Linked DNA regions of Rattus norvegicus. The protein of the gene in region 2 purifies or fractionates together with the protein of the main gene of each other region. This does not show direct contact. Links are inferred from orthologs where the notes say so. Each region holds a gene or a part of one and is shown on either strand. Other genes may lie near its edges. The genes, in order: Dtnb, Tns2 and Utrn.

Region 1 (6,763 bases), on a different chromosome or scaffold from region 2:
CGTTTAGGATGGAGAACACAGAGGGAGTGGTAGCTGGAGCCGAATCTTCCTCCCTAGGATAAGTAAGGTGAACGCTATAGATGACTAGGAAAACTATAGAACTATAGACTGTAGAATGCTAAAGACGACTAGGAAACAACCAGGAAAGACACTGATAATCTTGAAATATGAGGCGGAAAATGGGCGAACATGTTTGAAAGTTGTTGTGAGGATGTGAAGTGCTTCAAGAGATAAAAGGCTGTTAACACAAGTGTAAATTAGTGAGCTCTAGAGAAGTTTGTAAGAGCCCACTTCAAACTTGAGATAAGACGTGAGGCAGTGAGATAGAAGAAATAAGGTGTTTATTGATTTACCTTGACACTGGCTCATCCTGCAGCATGGCCTCACACCCAGAGTGATCCTTCTGCCTCAGCCTTCTGAGTGCTAGGAATTACAGGTGTTTGAGGCCCCGTACTGGGTTCCTATAGCTTCAGTTTCACAGTCTACCTCATTGCCAGAGTCAATGTTTTTACCCATCAGTGCCTTCCCCATAGCAGGAGCTCGATACATGGTAAGAAACTAAATGTCTCTTGACATAGTCGGAATATCCTTACATGGTTGGAGCAGTCACCACCCAGCAACCAGTGAGTCTCCTCCGACATGCAAAGCAGCCACACGATTCCTGTGTAAAAAGTAATGTATTCCCTCCCCCTCAGAAAAAAAAAGTTATCAACACAGCACTGACTGCCTTCACCATAGGAATTTAAAAATAGATTGTGAGAAGAGGAGGAAAAGGGTGTTCTAGAGGCAGCCCGACAGTGTGATCGAAGCAGGTGGCACGATCTGCTTTTCCAGAAGGTGCCAGAAAGCTTCAAAAAGCTTCCCTAAAGCACAAAGGCCTGGAGCTGCTTCCATTCACACATGCACGTTCACATACACCAAAAACCTAAGGGATATTGCTGTTGTCTTAATGTTGAGGGGAAATTTTTTGATTTTTGAGACGTTAAAAGAAGACTTCGATGTCCCTAAAGAAGGATTCTATAAAAAAATGGCAATATGAGGGGCTGGAGAGATGGCTCAGCAAAGAGCACTTGCTATGTTATCCGAGGACCTGCGTTTGATTCCCCAGCATCCATCCACACTTCACAGTTCCAGGGGATCCAAAACACTCTTCTGGCCTCCGGGGGCACTCACGGGGTGCAAACATTGCAGCCCAAACACTCATACACATAAAATAAAACATAAATGCTTTAAAAAAGGATAGATGAGTTGGTAATAAATATAGATACATAAATAAATGAAGCTTTGTCGCCCCTGCTCCCTTGTCCAAGCTGTTTAATGTCCAAATACTCCCACTTTCAGGAACTACTGAACGACTAAGCGGAAAGTAATCTGTCCCTCCTCATCCTCTCACCGCATCCGGCTGTGGCTTGCCTTTGCGCAGAGGACCGGACTCGGTCCTTCGCAAGGCTGCTCTTCTCCCTAAGTTATGCGCTCTTGGGGACCAGGGCCGTGACCCAGATCGTGTCCACCGGGCACCAGGCGCATGAGTTAGTGCTCAAACGAGCCTGCTGAGGCAATGTGGAAAGTCACTCGGGGGAGGACCCGGCGCTCGAGGCGCGGGTGAATGATTCACCGGGTATTTCTTCGCATTCCTTACGGTTCAGTCACGTCGGCGCAGCACCCAGCCGCCCGGCAGCTACCTGTGGAGTGGAAGCGCACCTCCGCCTCCACCTCCGCCTCCGCGGCCAGCGCACAGCAGAGGCCCGGAGGGGGCGCGCAAACCCGCGGGAGGGCACTCGGCCGCCTCCCCGCCCCCTCTGGCGGCGGAAGCCCCGCCCCTCCGCGCGCCCGCCCTCCGCGCGCACCCGCCCTCGCCCTCGCCCTCGCGCCCTCGCGCCGGGGGCGGGCTCGCTGCGCGTGCCGGGCGGGGAAGCGGCGCGAGCCGGCGCCAGGAACGTTCGCCGCGGGGGCGGCTCCGGGGCCTGAGTGGGCGCCGCCGCCTCAGTCGCTGCCGCTGCTTCAGCTGCCTCTGCCGAGGGGGCCGGGTCGGAGGAGGCTGCGGCCGCCGGAGAGCCACGCGACGGCCCCTCAGCTTCGGCCGGGAAGCGAGCCAGGTGGGGAGTCCGCCGGGGCTGGAGGAGCGAAAAGGAGGGCTGCGGGGTGGCGGAGCGCGCGGCCCTGGAACGGCGACCCTTGGGAGACCGCACGCCGGGCCGGAGAGGGCTCTCCGGTCACCCGGGCGCGCGGGGGGCCGCGGAGCGCAGAACCCGGCTGCGCGCGCTGCTGATGCAGCCTGAGCCGGACTTGCGGGGAGGAGGCTCAGCGTTAGGTGCTGAAGGGGGCGAAGGCGGCAGGTCCTGGCAGAGGGCAGGTGAGGTAGGCAGGCCCTGGCAGAGGGGAGGGAATTCATTCCAGATCACCTCTCAGTGTCTCCCGAGGCTCCCGGTAGACGAACCTGTCTACTCAGGTCACCTCTGATGGGCACAGTGTCCCGAGAAGAGCGAGGATGCAGCTGACGAATGCTTACTGTTAAATTCCTGTGCCAGGCCTTGGGGAATCAGGGAGACCTTTCTAGCATTCTCTGCAAGCGTTTATTGATTAGCTACGGAGCAGGAGAGAACCGCGGTCAGCGCCCGGGTCACGACTTTATCACTCTCAACCATCATTTATTTGCTGTTGAAGTGCTGACAGTCCGGCTGTGAAAGTATACACACAAAATGTAAAGTGCTCTATTTTATGTTTCTTGTTCTGTTCACTTCAGGTCTCTTTAGGATTTTCCCAGCCCTGGGAAACTGGGCCGTAAGTTGCTTGGCTTGTGGAGAAAGTAAGATACTTGAGGAAAGCTGGTGGGAGCTATTGGGAAGAGATTTGAAGGGTCTTACTGACATTTAAAAGAGAGGGGAAAGAAATTTGGAAGGAGAATCTTGCCTTCCCAACTAGAATTAAGCTCCGCGCCTGTTTTCTGCCCAGTCCTCAGGATGTGGCCTGGATCCCGAAAGCCCTACAATGGATGCCCACTGCAGGAGTGGATGGAGGGACCAGGGTTTGATACATTTGATATGAAGTAGTGTCAGTCTCTGTAGAGTTAGGGATGCTCGCTGGCTTCCTTTGGTCCTAGGATTCTCTTTTTGCCTTCTCAGGTAACCCAGGGTTTTAGACGCTAAACCAGTGGCTTAGGTGGCAGACTCCGGTGGCTTGTGGCCACTTCTTCATCCACGCGGTTCTTGTATGTTGTGCACCAGAAGCTTGTTCTTTGGGTGGCTGCTTGAAGTCAGGTTCCGGTCCTTCTCTCATTGGCCTTTTCCCCCCTCCTCTGTCGTTTGAGGAGGACTGGAGGGAGCTTTTGCCTAGAGAACACTTTATAATTTCTATCCTGCCTCTTGGATCTTGGTTCTGAGGTGAGAGAATGCTTAAGTCTCTTCAGGTCTGTAAGGGCTGGAGTTCTGTCCTCTGCCTTGCTTGGACTCTCCAGCCCCATACTGCTGCTTCCTTTCCCTGGCTTGCAATGCCTGTTGGATTACTTTGCTTGCCAAATTAAAACTTGACCTTTTATGTGTTCTCTGAGGATTTTTATCAGACTTAAGTGGAACTGCCTCTGAAGGGGTTGTGCAGGCAAGGTGGTGCTGGCAGGGTCTTTAGCTTCACTGAATTTTGCCCGGGAGACAGAATATAGTTAAAATATTAGAGTGCGCAGGATTTCCAGTTACCCTTTATTTCATGTCTTCAGATGTTAACATATCTGACCCTTAGTCTCCTTATATAAAAAATAAGAGCAATATTAATCCAAATTTGTCATTGGATATATAGAAGCCTTGAAGTATATTCATTTAGTTCATTTTAATTAGTATTTGCATTTCAGGGTACAACCATTAAGTCTCTCTTAGGTTTTGTTTTGGGGTGCCTATGTGGCTTTGCAAATTTGGGTGTCTTGTTTCGGGCACTTCTAATATTTTATTTAGATATTTAATTTACATTTATTTGAAAATAAACCCTCTACCCCCGGTTTTTGAAGCAGGGTCTTGCTGAGTAGTAACCCCAGCTATATTGGTACTCGAAATACAGTAGCCCAGGCTGTAAGTTGACTTTGAACTGTGGCTATCCTTCTGTTAGTCCTTCCTGTGAAGCACCATGGCTGGTTAAAACAAACTTTTTGTTTGTTTGGGTTAAAGATAGGGTCTCTCTCTGTCATTCTGACTTTGAACTTATGTCTATTCTCCTATCTATGTGTCCTGGGATTACAGGTGTGCACTACTGTGCCTTCTTCATGTGTAGTTTACATAGGATAAAATGGATAGACTTTGCATATTGAGTTGGGTATTTTGAAAAAATGGTACATATTGGTGGGCATGGTGGCATATGTCTTTAGATTGAAGTCCTTAGGAGGCAGAGGCAAGCTGATCACTTCAAGTCCAGCTAGGGTTACATAGGAAGACACTGTTTCAACAACAACAAAAAAAGCAAAACAAAGTAACAAAAGTCCCTCCCCCAAGAAAACAAACAAAAAAAGAAAAGACATGTGTACTTTGTAACCTATCCCAATCAAAATATATACTTTTGTATCATGAGAAAGTTAACTCCTGCTGTCTTGGGGACAACCCCTCCCTCTATTTTATTAACTTAAAATTACATAAGCATTAGAGCTGTGGTTTCTAGATGTGCTGGAGGTACGCTGCTGTTCTAGGGTGTCTTTTGCACTGGAGTCTCTCTGTGCTGGCAGCTCCTGGAGTTGCAGTAGTTTGAGCAGTTCAGAATGCATATTTGCTTGTAAATTGCTCCAAATAAAACTCCCTTGACATACCTACTCCTTTTTCTACTCCGGTTACCAGTTTGTTGTTTTCTTCCCAGGCCTTTTTCTATGCATTTTACTTTTTTTGCATGTGTATGTGGTATGGGGGAGTCTGCATATGGTATCCATGTACCATACATTGTATATGCCTGTGAAAGCCCAGAGTTGACACTGGAGGTTCTCAGTTGCTCTCTTACTTATTTATTAAGTTCAGCCTCCTCCTGAACCTGGAGCTGGCCAATTTGGCTAGTCTAGCCAGTCAGCTCGTTCTGATGACTCCTGTCTGTCTCTAGAGCGCTGGCATTGTAGGTGGCTGCTATACCTGCCTGGCTTGTATGCGGGTTCTAGAGATTTGAACTCCAATTCGTATATTTGCGTGGCAAGTGCGTTATCCACTGAGTCATTTCCAGCTCTCTTTGCATTTTACTATAGCATTCTGTCTAGGTTGCTCTGTAGACTTTTTTTTTTCATGTTGGAACACAAGACCTGCGTAGTCTTTACTGTGTGATTTCTTAATGTATGTTGCGCACTGTACTTAGTATATTTAAGCCTCTCTTATTATTGGCAGTGAATGGAAATCAAATACACCTTCTAGTCTGAGACTTTTCTTAAAAACAAAAATGTAATGTTTGTCATAAATATATGAAAACTTCTTTTCTAAGTGGCTGTGTATGCTCAGAAAAAAATTCTCAAGCTGGTGATATGACTCGGCAGGTAAAGGCACCTGTTGCTAATCCTGATGGTCTCAGTTCAATTCCCAAAACCCTTGTGTTGAAGGAAAGAACTGATTCCTGTGGTTGGCCTCTGACCTCCATCTGCTATAGCATGAGGGTACCCACACACATACACCCATACAAACAAGGGTAATAAAGGAAAAAATTGAAAATAAATATGTCTTTATGTCACGCTATGAATTATATTTCTGGTTTCTTTTACTTGGTAATATGCATTTATACCTGCTTATGGACTGATGACTTATTTCCTTTTAGTAACAAATAATATTCCAGTCAGTGGAAATACCAGTTTGTTTATTCACTCATCCAGTGAAAAGTCTTGGTAATTCTGAATAGAACTGTTGCAATCTTCTGTGTGCATGTTATTTTGTAGATACAAGTTTTTTTTTTAACCCACTTGGATAAGTTATGAGTACAACAGTAGATCAGAATATGCCAGATCAAATATATGTTTGGCTGTATATGCCAGATCAAATATATGTTTGGCTGTATATGACAGATCAAATATATGTTTGGCTGTATAGGAAACTGCCAAGCAGGCTTCTAAAGTGATTACCATTTTGCATTGGCAATAAATTTTAACATTTATATCCAAGCGCCCTGAATGTATATGTGAAATCAGTTTTGTCTTGCTGTCTATGAATTTACTCACTAAGTAAATACTCAGTTACTGCTGTCCTGACTGGCTCTTAGCATGGTTTCTCTCCATGCATTTTGAAATTTTGCCTTACAGATTCATTCTGCTTTGAGTGTCTTTTAGTTTCTTGTTTCGGTACTCACCTTTTTGCCTATTACACGTGGGATTTCAGGTGTTCAGCTGTCCTGCAGGGGTCTCAGTCTAGAATCAGGTGTAGTAGAGGGTCAAGGTTCCTGTCCTTACAAATGTATGTCCTGGTTCGATTCCTGGCCAGGAGTGTTTGCACCTAGCCCCTTTTCTCAGCCCATACCATTACTAAACTGAATTCTAGGCATTGAGTGACAGTGCATTTTAAGCTTCTTTTCAGCTCCAGTCTCATCCCTGCTCCTCAGCGCTGAGTCTGGCTTGGCTGCCTTGTATTCTCCACCCACCTTTGCTTGGAATCGTGTTCCCCTGCGATTCCCCAGTACCAGTTCTGGACTCAGAATCCAGCCAGCCTGTAGCTTTATCCTGCTCATAATCATGTCTCTTGTAGTGCTCCTGATGGAACACTGGAAGGTTTTCTTGTTTCTTAAACCTTGTCTTTTGATTTCTACTAACATTTTTTTTTTCATTGATTTGAAG
Region 2 (6,663 bases):
TGCCATCTCCATGCACAAGGAGTAAACATGTTGTTCTGACTGTGGGGGAGGGGGCCGAATCAGCTGCCGGGAGCTTAGAGCCCTTGAGAGTCAGGGGCTCAGGACTGGCTGCAGTCAGTCTGGGTGTTATGGGACAGCGCTTGTGTGTCTGGGCCGGCCTGTCAGCTCACAGAATATGAGCCTCATGTGGGGAGGGCAAGAGGAGAGGAGAGTCAGACCCCCTCACTCAGCGAGATTCTCAGAAAGCCCTCGCATTTGAAGTGGGGGTGACAAGGACATCACATAGCTCCTCCACGTGAGGAGGCCTGAGTAAACCCTCAGGGAGGAGTTAACCCAACCAAGGTGACGCAAGGGGTCACATTCCAAGCCCTGTAGAGGACAGGCCTCATGACTACCCTGGAACAGCTGTGGCCAAGTGTGCCTTAGAGTTCAGAGACTTTTGGCTGGAAGAGAGGGATGCAGTCGCTCTAAGGAAAGGTCCCTGCCCAGCCTTGGAGATGGGCCCACTAGGAACTCATAACCCTATTTGTCTGTCATCCCTCTCGCAGCCTAGGAAAGCAGAACCGCACAGCTTCCGGGAGAAGGTTTTCCGGAAGAAGGCTCCAGTGTGTGCAGTGTGTAAGGTGACCATCGATGGGACCGGTGTCTCGTGCCGAGGTGAGGGGCTCTTGCTGTTCTTATGGTGTTGAGCCCTCCAGTAAGCACTTCTGTGCTGTGTGACTCTAGCTCTAGAGACCGGCAAATTCAGAAACAAATGCCCTCAGTCCCCTTGACACCCACCTTGCCACCGCCCAGGAGATTTGTGACCACCTTCCCATCCTTTTGTGACTAGGGGCTTCCCTTCCTCCTCCTCTTCCTCTTCCTCCTCCTCCTGTTCCTCTTCTTCCTCCTCACCTCTATTCATCTTAGACGCCAACCTCTGGCCCTCTTCCCTGCTGATAACCAGCTCTGTTCTTCGACTCCAGTGACCCAGTGTACTAGGGTCCCAGGGTTGGCTTCCAAGGCCTGGAGGACTAGAGGACAGCTACTTTGACTGTTCCCATAGCCTCTGCTAACCTCTATCCTCCCCTTCCTTTCTCTAGTCTGCAAGGTGGCCACACACAGAAAATGTGAAGCAAAGGTGGGTATCCAGTCCTAGCTAATGGGGGACGGTGTCTTTCCCTGCCCAAACAGGTTTCTTCAGCCACACTGGCATCGTCTTCCACCCAGTCCCCTGTCACTCCTGGAGACCCCTTCCTGGGTGGCAGAGGTGTTGTGTTGGGCTCTTTAAGAACCACCCTACTCCACCCCTGGAGGGTTGGCCCAGGAGGGTGGACAGTGAGACAGCGTTTGTCTTGGTGCTGTGCCCGGGCTGCAGCTGGCGAGAGGATGGGGGGGGGGGTGAGTTGTGGGGGAGGAAGGGCGGGGTGGATAGAGAGGGAGCAGGATTTCAGAGACCAGGCACCCGGATGGGCCGTGCCTTCCCTCTGAGGAAGGGTCCTCAGGATGCCTGAGTTGGTCTTATCCTGGGTGGTGATGGCTGAGCCTGTTTGGGTATACCCTGTAGGTGGTACCCACTGTCCACTGAGACCCTGAGGCAGCCCCCCATCTCTGAGGAACGTTCCTGGTCCTCCATCAGTGCAGGGGATAGTCCCAGGGCCTCAAGCTAGCTTGGGGGAGCTATGTGCCCCATGGGTGGGGTCTCAACGGTGAAAGAGGCTAGTGTCCACCCCTGGCCATTGCCTGGCTGGCTGGCTCTATATATAACTCCTGTCCTGCAGCTGGATGAATGGGGGTCTGTGTGGGCAGGGGGCTGAGAGCCAAGAGCAACAAGCAGGGGGCCTGAGGGGTGGGAGACCGAGAGGCAGAAACAAGGCTCCCTTAAATAGAGGAACCTCAGCTAGAGCTTGTGCTCATCAGGTGACAGGCCCTGCATCTTCCTCCCTGAGGCTGAGCACCCCGTTTCACCAGCTCAGCCTTAAACTCCCACCTCTTTCCAGGTGACTTCATCCTGTCAGGCCTTGCCCCCCGCGGAGCTGGTGAGTGTGCTCAAGGATGGGGCAGGGAAGGCAAGGAACCTGACTAATATCCCGGGGTCTGGTGGTCTCAAAGTGGGTCTCCAGGTTATGTAGTACTGAATGCTGTGGTTTATTGGTCAGTTATCCTCAACAGATGACTGTCGGAGCCCTTCGTTGTGACTGTCTTCTAGGGCTGGTTGGGGACTAGAGTCCTGTCCCCAGGGAGTGGACACTGACATGCGCTCCCACCCCGCCCCCAGGTCCAAACTGGTCCTTGCCCCTGCCCTAACCACTCCCATTTCCTCCCCCACCTCCTCACTCTAGCGGAGAAACACAGCCCCAGTCCGGCGCATAGAACACCTGGTAAGGGATGCTAGGAGCCTGAGCGGGAAGGGGCGGGCGTGTGGGTAGCTCTTGGAGTAGGGACCTACATTTGCAGAAGACCACGGTTTGTAGAACTTTTGACCCGGAAGCTTAGAAGCGATGCATCCAAACAGTTGTCGGCATACGGTTTCTCATCCACCAGGGGTCCACCAAGTCTCTGAACCACTCAAAGCAACGCAGTACTCTACCCAGGTGAGTGAGGACGCCCGGTGATCCCACGTAGGCACTTTCCACTGGACCGCTACTCAGCTTATGGCAGTGGCCGCCAATAAAGCCCCCAGGACAGTACTCCCCCTCCGGGCCACCCACCCTAAGGACCTAATAGGTCGCCCAGAGCTCCCCAGGATCCTTAGCCCCTGGGCCGCCGCGCTTCTCTGTTCTCTAAATCGGCTTTGCGTCCTCTCCCAGGAGCTTCAGCCTGGATCCGCTCATGGAGCGTCGCTGGGACTTGGACCTCACCTATGTAACAGAGCGGATCCTGGCCGCAGCTTTTCCTGCACGACCAGACGAGCAGCGACACCGAGGCCACTTGCGAGAGCTGGCCCATGTGCTTCAATCCAAGCACCGAGACAAGTACCTGGTGAGAAGCGGGTGGGCCAGATCCAACCAATGAGAGGGCTGGGAGATTCAAATGGGGCGAGGCTACTGTTTCCCCATCAATACCTGAGATGGGGCTGGAGAGGGGGCGGTGTTCGCGAGCAGGGGCGGGGCGGGGCGGGGCCGGAGGTTAGCCAGTCACCGCAGGGTGCAGAGAATTCAGCTCCAGCGGATTACAATCTTACTATTTTTAGAGCAAGATGCTCGATGAGGGTTCACCTCCAGCACCTGCATCTCAAGTCACCGTCATCTAACTCTGCCCTTTATTTCAGCTCTTCAACCTTTCAGAGAAACGGCATGACTTGACCCGCCTGAACCCCAAGGTAGGAGGGAAATGGTCTGTTTGCCGTTTATTCCGAGCCAACCTTGTGAAAAGGCTCTGCCTCCTTGTTGACATCCACTTTTCTCACACTACTTAAGATAACTAAAAACGAGGTGCTGGGGTTATCAGCCCACAGTATGGCGGAAAAAAGTGTCCAAGCTACTGTGGACAACTACTAAGTTTGCGCCTTGCCCCCAGGTCCCTGTATTGTATTCACATCTTCCTCCCTTTGTTACACACACACACACACACACACACACACACACACACACACACTTGTACTTGTACTTCCCCAGGTACATGACTTTGGCTGGCCGGAATTACATGCCCCACCTCTGGACAAGTTGTGTTCCATCTGCAAAGCCATGGAGACGTGGCTCAGTGCCGACCCTCAGCATGTGGTCGTGTTATACTGCAAGGTGAGCCAGGACCTTGGGGTAACAGAGCTAGGACAACCTCAGCCTAAAAGTTGCAGGTTCCCCATCTCCATCTCTTTATCTCTTAGGGTAGCAAAGGCAAGCTTGGAGTCATCGTCTCTGCCTATATGCACTATAGCAAGATCTCTGCAGGGTGAGTTGCCCTGCTTCAGTGACCCCTCCTCGTCCGGCCCTGTCTGAGCTTTTTTCTCCTTAGTCAGACTATACACTTGGTACGGTACTGTCTATCTCCAGCTGTGGGCCCAGCACACCACAGCAGAGGAACTGGGCTAGTTTCTTAGGGCCACCAGCTAAGTGCCATAGACTAGCTTAAAATAATATAGCTCAGTTGTCTTACTGTTCTGAGATAGTAAAAGTCCAAAGTCAGTGTCAGTGGGGCCACGCTCTCTCTCTGGGACTCTAGGCGGACTCCTTCCTTGCCTCTTTCCAGCTTCTGGTGGTGCCTGACAGTCCTTGGCAGTTCTTGGCTGGCAGCGGCATCCCTCCACCCCCTGCTTCCGTCATCACGTGGTGTTCTCTTTGCGCGCCTGTTTCTGTCTCTCCTCTTCTAAGGATCAATCACCCTAATTAAGGACCCACCTTGCTCCTGTATGATCTCATCTTAACCTATCTAACCACATCCGCAAAGACCCTATTTCTAAATAAGGTCACATTTGAGGTACATTTCTCTGGGGGAGGGATACAGTTCAACCCATCAGGTTGTCTAACTGCCTCCTTTTAAAAGTGAGGAAAGCCAGGTTCAGTTGCCCAAGGCCCAACAACTGGGCTATGCTGGAGGGTCTCTAGCTCTCTTCACCACCACTGGGAGTTCCTCTGTACAGAGAGGTTCCTCCTTTCCTGGGGTTTAAGAATGGAAGGCAGGGGGTTGGGGATTTAGCTCAGTGGTAGAGCACTTGCCTAGCAAGCACAAGGCCCTGGGTTCGGTCCCCAGCTCCGGAAAAAAAAAAAGAATGGAAGGCAGGCGATCTTCCTAGAAGTGTATGAGTGACAAGCAATAGCATAAAAGTGATATATACATATATATATATATATATATATATATATATATATATACATACACACACATATATATATGTATATATATGCGCTTAGTTTGTAATTGTTCAAGTGATTCATGGGAATACAAGATAAGGCAATTTAAACTTTTTTTAAAAACTTAAAAAAAAAAAAAAAAGAATGGAAGGCAGGAATGGGACCGGTCCTTAACCCCCGACCTCCCCTGCTCTCCCCAGGGCAGACCAAGCGCTGGCAACCCTCACCATGAGGAAATTCTGTGAGGACAAGGCGGCCATGGAACTGCAGCCCTCCCAGCACCGGTGAGCACCCCAGTGGGGAAGGGCTGACTCTCCCTCTCAGGTAGCACACCTGAATCCCACAGTGTACGGGAGCCCAGTGAGCCAGGCCCTGTGCCAAGTTCTGGGAAGTCAGAACAAACAAGGTCAGGCTCCCGTGGTATTTATATGCTAGTAGAGTAGAAGGCAAGAAGCCATGCGTAAACAGACTAGATCGTTCTGGCTGACAGTAAGGTCTGTGACAGGAATAAAGCAGAGGCTTGTAAGACTCCACAGGATGCGCAGGGCTTGCCTCCTTGAAGTTTAGAAGAGCCTTCTAGGTCTCTCAAGAGCTGCCAGGTTGGTGTGAGGCGCCCTCTAGAGGAAGACACTGATGTTTTCTTGGCACTCCCCACCCTCCACCCCCTCGCCAGCTATGTCGGCTATTTCAGCGGGCTGCTGTCAGGCTCCATCAGAATGAACAGCAGCCCTCTCTTCCTGCACTATGTGTTTGTACCCGTGCTGCCAGCCTTTGAGCCCAACACAGGTGAGTCCCCCCGGGCTGTATCCCATGGGGATAGCCACCTCCTACCCCACACCCCTCATGGCTTCTTCCACCCCTCCAGGCTTCCAACCCTTCCTCAAGATCTACCAGTCTATGCAGCTGGTCTACACATCTGGAGTCTAGTGAGTGCCCTGCTCCCAGGCCCTGACATCAGCTTGCTTGCCCAGTCTTTCCAGGCCCAACCTTCTGGTTCCAGTCGGAGAGGCTGACAGTGTCTAGCTTTATGCCCTCCCTTCTGCCTTTGTGCCTCTGACTTCTGCCTTGTCTCTACCCAAAGCCACATCACAGGTCCAGGGCCCCGCCAGATTTGCATCAGCCTGGAGCCAGCCCTTCTCCTCAAAGGCGACGTCATGGTGAGGGGGCTTGTAATACTGAGTGGGGATTGCAACGGGGTGGGAGGCTTCTAGTCATGTAGGCAACTGGCAAGGCCTGTGTCTGAGTTAGGGTTTTACTGCTGTGACCAGACACCATGACCAAGGCAACTCTTATAAAATCAACATTTAATTGTGACTGGGCTTACAGGTTCAGAGGTTCAGTCCATCATCATCAAGGCGGGATCATCTGAAGGTTGCTAGTGGAAGACTCCCTTCCAGGCAGCTAGGAGTAGGGTCTTAAAGCCCACACCCACAGTGACACACCTACTCCAACAAGGCCACACCTCCAAATAGTGCCACTCCCTGGGCCAAGCATATACACACCATCACAACCTGTAAGCCAGAGCAGAGGCCCAAAAGAAAACCCCACCCCTGCTATCCCAGGAGAGTTCATGTTGAGGCTGGGGCACAACAGAAGCGGTGGCCAGTGACTAGGTGGCCCTTGGGGTAAAAGTGTAGGTAAGGCAAATCGGAAATGACGGCCTGACCCCAGCCCCCTGCCCTCCTTCAGGTGACCTGCTACCACAAGGGTGGTCAGGGGACAGACCGGACCCTTGTGTTCCGAGTTCAGTTCCACACGTGTACCATCCATGGGCCACGGCTCAACTTCCCCAAGGACCAGCTAGATGAGGCCTGGGCTGGTGAGTCAGAGGCCAAGGAAGTGGCAGTTGGGTAGGGTAAGGAAAGCCAGCGAGGCATGGCTCCTCACCTCCACC
Region 3 (6,763 bases), on a different chromosome or scaffold from region 2:
GGCTCTGCTACCACAATGTTCTTTCTGGCCTTGCCTTAGGCTGGAAGCAATGGATCCAGCCAGCCTCAGCCTGCATCCGCTGCTACCGAGAGCTAACATGAGTCTTTCCCGTCAGTCACAGTGACGGTAATCTATACCACACACTTGATCTGAAATCAGGAATCTTGAATGTTCTTGCTTGCACGTCTTATCTCACCTAAATGAATCCTACATTCTTCTAGGGCGAGATCTATGTTGGCTTTCTATGTATCGTTGGCCACAGCAAGCCTCGTACCGATGCTGGCTAATGGGAGGAGTGGAAGTGGACGAGAAAGTCAATCAGTTCCTACTAGGTGATTAGATTCTCTTCGGCTTGTATGGAGAGCATCCTCCAAGGTGAAGTTAAGTCAGACTTTATAAAGAAGTCTCTTCTGTCTCAGCCCTCAGTACTCGAGACCCCAGAGGTTTTCAACTGGTGATTAACACGAGGCTAGTGAATTATTTTCACTGGCTCATAAATTAACCCTCCAGGATTAAGGAAGCACATATAACACAGATTTCATTTAGTCCAAGATAGGTCTTGGCTAACCCTGTAAACTTGCAACAAGTTTTGCAAACAGATGTAAGTTTGCTTGAAAAAAAAAAAGAAAATAAATAAATAAATAAAGAAAGAAAGAAAGAAAGAAAAAGAAAGAAAGAAAGGAAGGAAGGAAGAAAGAGAGAAAGAAGAGAAGGAAGGAAGGAAGGTTTGGCAGATGGTGCCACTGGTAAGGCCCCTGATGAATATTAAAGTCTGAAGATTTGAGTCTGAACCCTGGATTCCTCATAAAGGTGTAAAGTGAGTGAGAACTGTCTCGACAAAGTTGTCCTCTGACTTCATGTGTGCACTGTCACCAGCACCCCAACACCATACATCATGTACACACACACACACACACTCCTACACACACACTCATACACACACATTCATACACTCTCTCACACACATTCACTCTCACACACACATTCACACACTCATACACACACTCATACACACACTCATACACACACTCATATACACACTCACTCATATACACACACACACATTCACACACACACTCATACACACACATTCACATTCTCACACACTCATACACACACTCGTATACACACTCATATACACACTCACATACACTCATACATACACTCATACATACACATTCACACTCACACACACATTCACTCTCTCTCACACACACTCATACACACACACTCACACACTCATACACACACACTCATACAAACGCATTCACACACTCTCACACATACACTCATACACACACACTCGTATACACACTCACTCATATACACACTCACATACACATTCATACATACACTCATACACACACATTCACACTCACACAAACATTCACTCTCACACACATTCACTCTCTCTCACACACATTCACTCTCTCACACACACACTCATACACACACTCATACACACACACTCATACAAACACATTCACACACACTCTCACACACACTCTAACACACACACTCATATACACACTCACTCATATACACACTCACACACTCACACCCATGCACTCACACCCACACACTCATGCACACACACTCACACACTCTCACACACATTCACACACTCTCACACACACATTCACACACTCTCACACATATATTCACACTCTCTCAGACACACATACATTCATACACTCATACCCATGCACTCACACTCACACCCACACACTCATGCACACACATACTCACACACTCATATACACACTAACACACACTCACACCCACGCACTCACATGCACTCACACTCACTCACACCCACACACTCACACCCACACACTCATGCACAGAGAGAGAGAGAGAGAGAGAGAGAGAGAGAGAGAGAGAGAGAAATTTAAAGGTTAGCACCGACGTTATTTGTGTATATGCACATATAAGGACACTTGGGGTTGTTTAAACAGCATTTAAAAAAGATGCTAAGAAAATTGTATAAAATAAATATACCCTTGGATTTAGAACCGCAAACTCAACAACCTCAGTAAACAGAAATGGGATGAGTTGGCCAGCAGGTCGAGATTTATTTAAAATAAAAACTAAAAGAAAAAAAAAAAAAAGCACTCGGTTAACAGACACCTAGTGTGCCTAGGGGGGCGTGACACCCATTTTCGGACAATTTGAATAAAAGGCACGGTGCGTGCGCATGGTGCCTACTCCAGCTTCTGCCTTCCAGCATGCACGACTGGTTCCGGGATTCCCGCACCGCGCACCGCACGGAGCGGGCGGCTGCGGCTGGGAGGGCGCTTAGGGCTAGTGCTGATTGACCGGGCGCGCGGTCAGGTGACCCGAGGCGCCACGTTCCGGGAGCCCGGCTCCCAGTGGCTTCCCAGGCCCGGGCAGGGCCGAACCCGGAGCCTAGGGGGACAGGTCTCTCCCGGAGAACAAAGTTGCTGGGCCGGGGCCCCGAGCCCGGGGCGCGCGAGCGGCTAGGCGTCTGATCCGACCCGTGGGATCCACGGCTCCGAGGCTGGGCGGTCCGTGCTGAGAGAAGCGAGCTCCTTCCCGGGTGGCGGGCCGACCCAGCAGCGCCCCACCCTCGCTCTCCAACAAAGGGGCAGGCGGCGGCCGGGGGAGGACCAGGAGGAGGAGCCGGAGCAGCGAGCAGCTCTCGCGCACAAAGTTGTGGAGTCGTCCTTCCCCGGAGGAGGGGAGCGGGCAGCGCCGGGCGCGGGATTTCTCCCGCCCAGGGCCGAGGAGGAACCTTGGGCTCCCTCAGCGGATCCGGCGACCTCCGGGAGAGGCGTCCCTTTTCTTTGGGGTCATTCCTGTAGAGGGAAAACTCCAGCGTGCGCCTGCCCCCCGGGCTAGCGTTTGGACTGTTTTGTTTTTGGCGGAACTACCGGGCAGGAAGATTGCACAAGTCAGGGGGCGTTTCCAATCGGGTGTCAATTTTGGATCCCCCCACCCCCTTTGGATTTTGTCGGGCTTTCCACGTTTCATTAAAAAAAAAAAAAAAAGGAAAACCAAAATTCTCCTAAGGTCCAACGCAAGCTCCCCACTACCCGAACACGCCCAGAGGAACCCTGGGGCCTCTGGGACTTGGTTAGCAGGTAAGCCCATGCATTATTGAAGCTTCGGGCTGGGTAATGTGACCGCAGTCCCGGAGGGAACGGGGCGGGGGCTGAAAGGAAAGGAGGTGGGTCCTTTCTGCAGTTCCACCGCCTGGGTCCCGAAGTAGCTGTTGCCAACTTCTGCACTTTCCCTGGAAGCTCTGCGTCTTCTGACTGGGCGGGAGAGAGCTGGGATGAGAAGGTGGGAATCTGTACTGGTCGCCAAGGTCTCAAATTCCTAGGTCTAGTTTAGCGCTGTTGTCTTGTCCCTCCCTTGAGAGGAGAGGGTGCTGTCGCCTGTCTGTTTATCGCCCCAAGCAGGGCAGCAGGACTAGCGATCTTCAAGAGGGGACGTGGCCTCTTTGGAGAGCTTGTCACACACCTCCGGTTCCCGGGAAGGCGGGGCCCGGGCGGTGTCCCGGAGGAGAGGGTGGGGAGGGCGGCTGTATAGTGGGAGGGTTGGGGAGCGCTTTCTAGCCGGCCTCCAGGCTGGGGGCGTGCTCGACCTCTCGGTAGTTGCCGTTCCTCAGGGTGGGGCCCCAGTGTGGCGAGGTGGCCAGCTCCCTGCCTGCAGCTCTGGAGAGACTGAGGGGTTAGGGATATCTCATTGGTGCGCAGTCCCGCGCGGCTGCCTGCTTTTCCGGACTCTTGGCATCCCTCACTGCAACTGACAAGGTAATTCTTGCCCCTCTTTGGCCTGGGTCTGAGGCTTTGCTTGCCCAAGGCCACTTTAAAAGCCAACAAAGAGCTAATTGTAAGCTGTGCAACTTTTAGAAGGCACTTTGTTCAAAGAGACTTTTCAAGTCCCTAGATTCCGACCGTGCGGCGTTCCAGGGTTATTTCAAGGGGAGGAGAAAACGTGTGTTACTCTTCAGAGTCAGGGACCCGCCTTTTTTAAACCCCCAAATTGGAGATCCTGGGTGTAATTCCGGGCTCCACTCTTTGGAGTCACTGAGGTAGCATCCTTTATTCGTCTTGCCTTCAGATACCTGGGTCACCAGTATCTGGAGAGGTAGGCTCTCCATGCATTTGAGTGGGAGGGTTTGCCGCGGCCAGAGCGCACGAATTCCGGAAGAGATAGGATCTCCAGGGTGGCGCGGTAGCAGCCTCATCTATTCCGTTGGAACTTGCCCTGGGCCTCTGAAGTCAGGCTGGACCCGCGGGGGCTGGCTGCTGCTGGGCGCTGGGGACGCAGCCTGCAGATTACACTGGTGCCTGCCTGTAAGAACTGGAGGAATTTGAAGCTCGTGGGTCGTTCAGTCCCGAAGACAAGGCAGTGAGGGGCATAGGCCATTCCCGCTGAAGCGCCCCGCCCCCCACCAGCATTTATGAGACCTTCGAGATAGCTCTTTAACCAAAAATTTATTGCGCCCGTAAACAGCATTAATCACAGTGGCATTAACCTTTCCTGGAGCGCTTCTAGTGTGAATGAATGGCAGTTCTTGGCACTCAGCGGTCTCCTTTACAAGCAGAATGGCAAACTTGTTCCTCGGCTTCCCTCTCCAGCATTCCTAGCTTTTGACCACTTGTGAGTGACTAGTGTTTGCAGGACTTAGCTTTTCTTCACAGCTGCTTGATTGAATATTCCTTTATGATGACACCTTTTGAATGTTGCAGATTCTTGAACTTTTGCCTATAAAGCCACCAACCCTGGCGTTCTGTTTTGATATGACAGAGAAGCATCCACCCTGAAGAGCCTGTGCTGTGGTGCGCGTCAGTTTCTGTGGGGAAACTGAATGGCATCGGCTGTTATTTTTGAGAGGAGAGCAATTATGTATAGGGCTCCTGTCCAACCTCTGGGTCATTCACCTCTAGTTTCTCCCTTACCCCCGTGTGGAATGTGGCTCCTTCCATTCCACGGGCGTGGGTGGAAGTGGAGTCTCTTTGGGACACATCGTTACTAAGAAAATTTTGATTCTGTCCCCATGTAACTCTACCAGCAGTTACAGAGTTACAGTTGCCATAGCGTTTTATTTATGTTATTTTGAGAAAGGGTTTCGGGTTGGGGATTTAGCTCAGTGGTAGAGCGCTTGCCTAGCAAACGCAAGGCCCTGGGTTCGGTCCCCAGCTCAGAGAGAGAGAGAGAGAGAGAGAGAGAGAGAGGGAGAGAGAGAGAGGGAGAGAGAGAGAGAGAGAGAGAGAGAGAGGGAGAGAGAGAGAGAGAGAGAGAGAGAGGGTTTCACTATGTGGCTTAGGCTGGCTTTGAACTGGCACTCCTCTTGCTTCAGCCTCCGAAGTAGCTGGGGTTATAGGTGTGCACCACCACACCTGGTTTGCATCTGGAAGTTTGGAAGGAGGTAACCTTTAACTTTCCAACTCAACATGGAGCTCCTGGAACATTCGCGGCCACAAGAGTTGGTGGCTGGTAAATGTTTTAAAGGACCTTCTCTTAATGTGTTCGTCCTCATTCTTTTCCAGTTTATTGATTTTTTTTTTTTTTGGTCCTGCTATGTTTTTGCAGTGTAGTAGGAATTTGCATTATCAAGAAGAGAAGATTGGAAAAAATTATCCCAAGGAGAATGACAGAATCAAACATTATGATGAAGAAGCATTATTGGTCCTATGCAAATGAAACCTGTGTACAAGAGTTAACTTTCTCTCAAAATGAAATTGGCGGCATTGTGTGTGTGTGTGTGTGTGTGTGTGTGTATGTGTGAGCATGTGTGCCTTTTTAAAATATGGCTCTGTGGTTAAGAGAGAGTTCAGGTTCATTTTCTTATGTCCATTTCTGGCATCCTTGGGCACCAGGTATACACACGAGGTAGACATTCACATATAAATTGAAAAAAAATGCATTTTTAGATATTTATTTATTTATCGAGTGTGTGGTGATCAGGCTTAGCGGCAGGTCCCTTCCTAATAGAGAGGACACGTCTTTGAGGAGCCTAACTGTGGAGGTCCCTGGATAAAACCAGATGTGAAGTAGCACAATAGACCTGTCTTTCAAAGGGACCTCATTCCAGAAAAGAGACTTTTTCTTAGGCAACTGGATTCCCCATAATAGAATGTTTACATAATCTGTGGATAAGATTTTGGTTCTCTAATATATTAAAGATACACATAAAAGTTTAGCAAATCTTTTACACTTTCAAGATAGGAATATATTAGCTTTTGATTGTATTCTTTGTGGGGAGGTGTTCCCCATCCCCCAAGCCTCATGTAGCCCAGGCTGGCCTCAAACTCTCTGTACAGTAGAAGGTAGCTTTAAACTCTGGCTTCTCCAGCTGGAGTCACTGGTCCACTCCTGGTGGAAGCTGCTAGGCAAATGGCCAGGCTGCCAGGCTTCTTGCCTGGTTACTTTTGACTTTAATTTCATTTTTGTAGTTCTGGGGAGCAAACCTAGAACCATGCCTACCCTAGGAAAGCAGAGAATCACATCTTCAGCCCTTTGGTTTATTTTTAATTTTTAAGACGACTAGTTTGGGATTTATTCTGTAGCTCAGGCTAGCCTAGGATTTTGAGAACCGTCTTTTCTCTGTCTCTTAAGTACTGGGACTACAGCTGTGAGTCACTATACTCAGGTCTGTGTATAGTCATAATAAACATTTAAGAAGTTTTTTTTAATGTCCTATAAAGTCTGGGAGGCTGATGAGCCCATCCATCTATTGAGAGGAAATGGTTCTTAAAGCTTTAACAATTTACCAGTGTTCCTTTCCTTC

What was found.
Region 1: the proteins of Tns2 (region 2) and Dtnb purify together in Homo sapiens (affinity purification with mass spectrometry; 3 studies listed by BioGRID and IntAct, with this or other methods). This does not show direct contact. The link is inferred for Rattus norvegicus from reciprocal best matches to the Homo sapiens genes TNS2 and DTNB.
Region 3: the proteins of Tns2 (region 2) and Utrn purify together in Homo sapiens (affinity purification with mass spectrometry; 4 studies listed by BioGRID and IntAct, with this or other methods). This does not show direct contact. The link is inferred for Rattus norvegicus from reciprocal best matches to the Homo sapiens genes TNS2 and UTRN.

Annotation. Positions count from the first base shown.
Region 1 is NC_086024.1:32,284,066-32,290,828, forward strand, and holds the start of Dtnb (dystrobrevin beta), read left to right. Parts: upstream 1-2,416; 5' UTR 2,417-2,686; exon of another isoform or gene 2,687-2,701; intron 2,702-6,763.
Region 2 is NC_086025.1:135,113,714-135,120,376, forward strand, and holds part of Tns2 (tensin-2), read left to right. Parts: intron 1-548; coding exon 549-657; intron 658-1,082; coding exon 1,083-1,120; intron 1,121-1,979; coding exon 1,980-2,018; intron 2,019-2,321; coding exon 2,322-2,360; intron 2,361-2,523; coding exon 2,524-2,573; intron 2,574-2,789; coding exon 2,790-2,961; intron 2,962-3,250; coding exon 3,251-3,301; intron 3,302-3,596; coding exon 3,597-3,719; intron 3,720-3,805; coding exon 3,806-3,870; intron 3,871-4,264; exon of another isoform or gene 4,265-4,395; intron 4,396-4,969; coding exon 4,970-5,053; intron 5,054-5,442; coding exon 5,443-5,555; intron 5,556-5,634; coding exon 5,635-5,695; intron 5,696-5,850; coding exon 5,851-5,926; intron 5,927-6,458; coding exon 6,459-6,588; intron 6,589-6,663. UniProt on the Homo sapiens protein: Tyrosine-protein phosphatase which regulates cell motility, proliferation and muscle-response to insulin. Phosphatase activity is mediated by binding to phosphatidylinositol-3,4,5-triphosphate (PtdIns(3,4,5)P3) via the SH2 domain.
Region 3 is NC_086019.1:9,040,730-9,047,492, reverse strand, and holds the start of Utrn (utrophin), read left to right. Parts: upstream 1-3,005; 5' UTR 3,006-3,104; intron 3,105-3,178; exon of another isoform or gene 3,179-3,306; intron 3,307-3,562; exon of another isoform or gene 3,563-3,779; intron 3,780-6,763.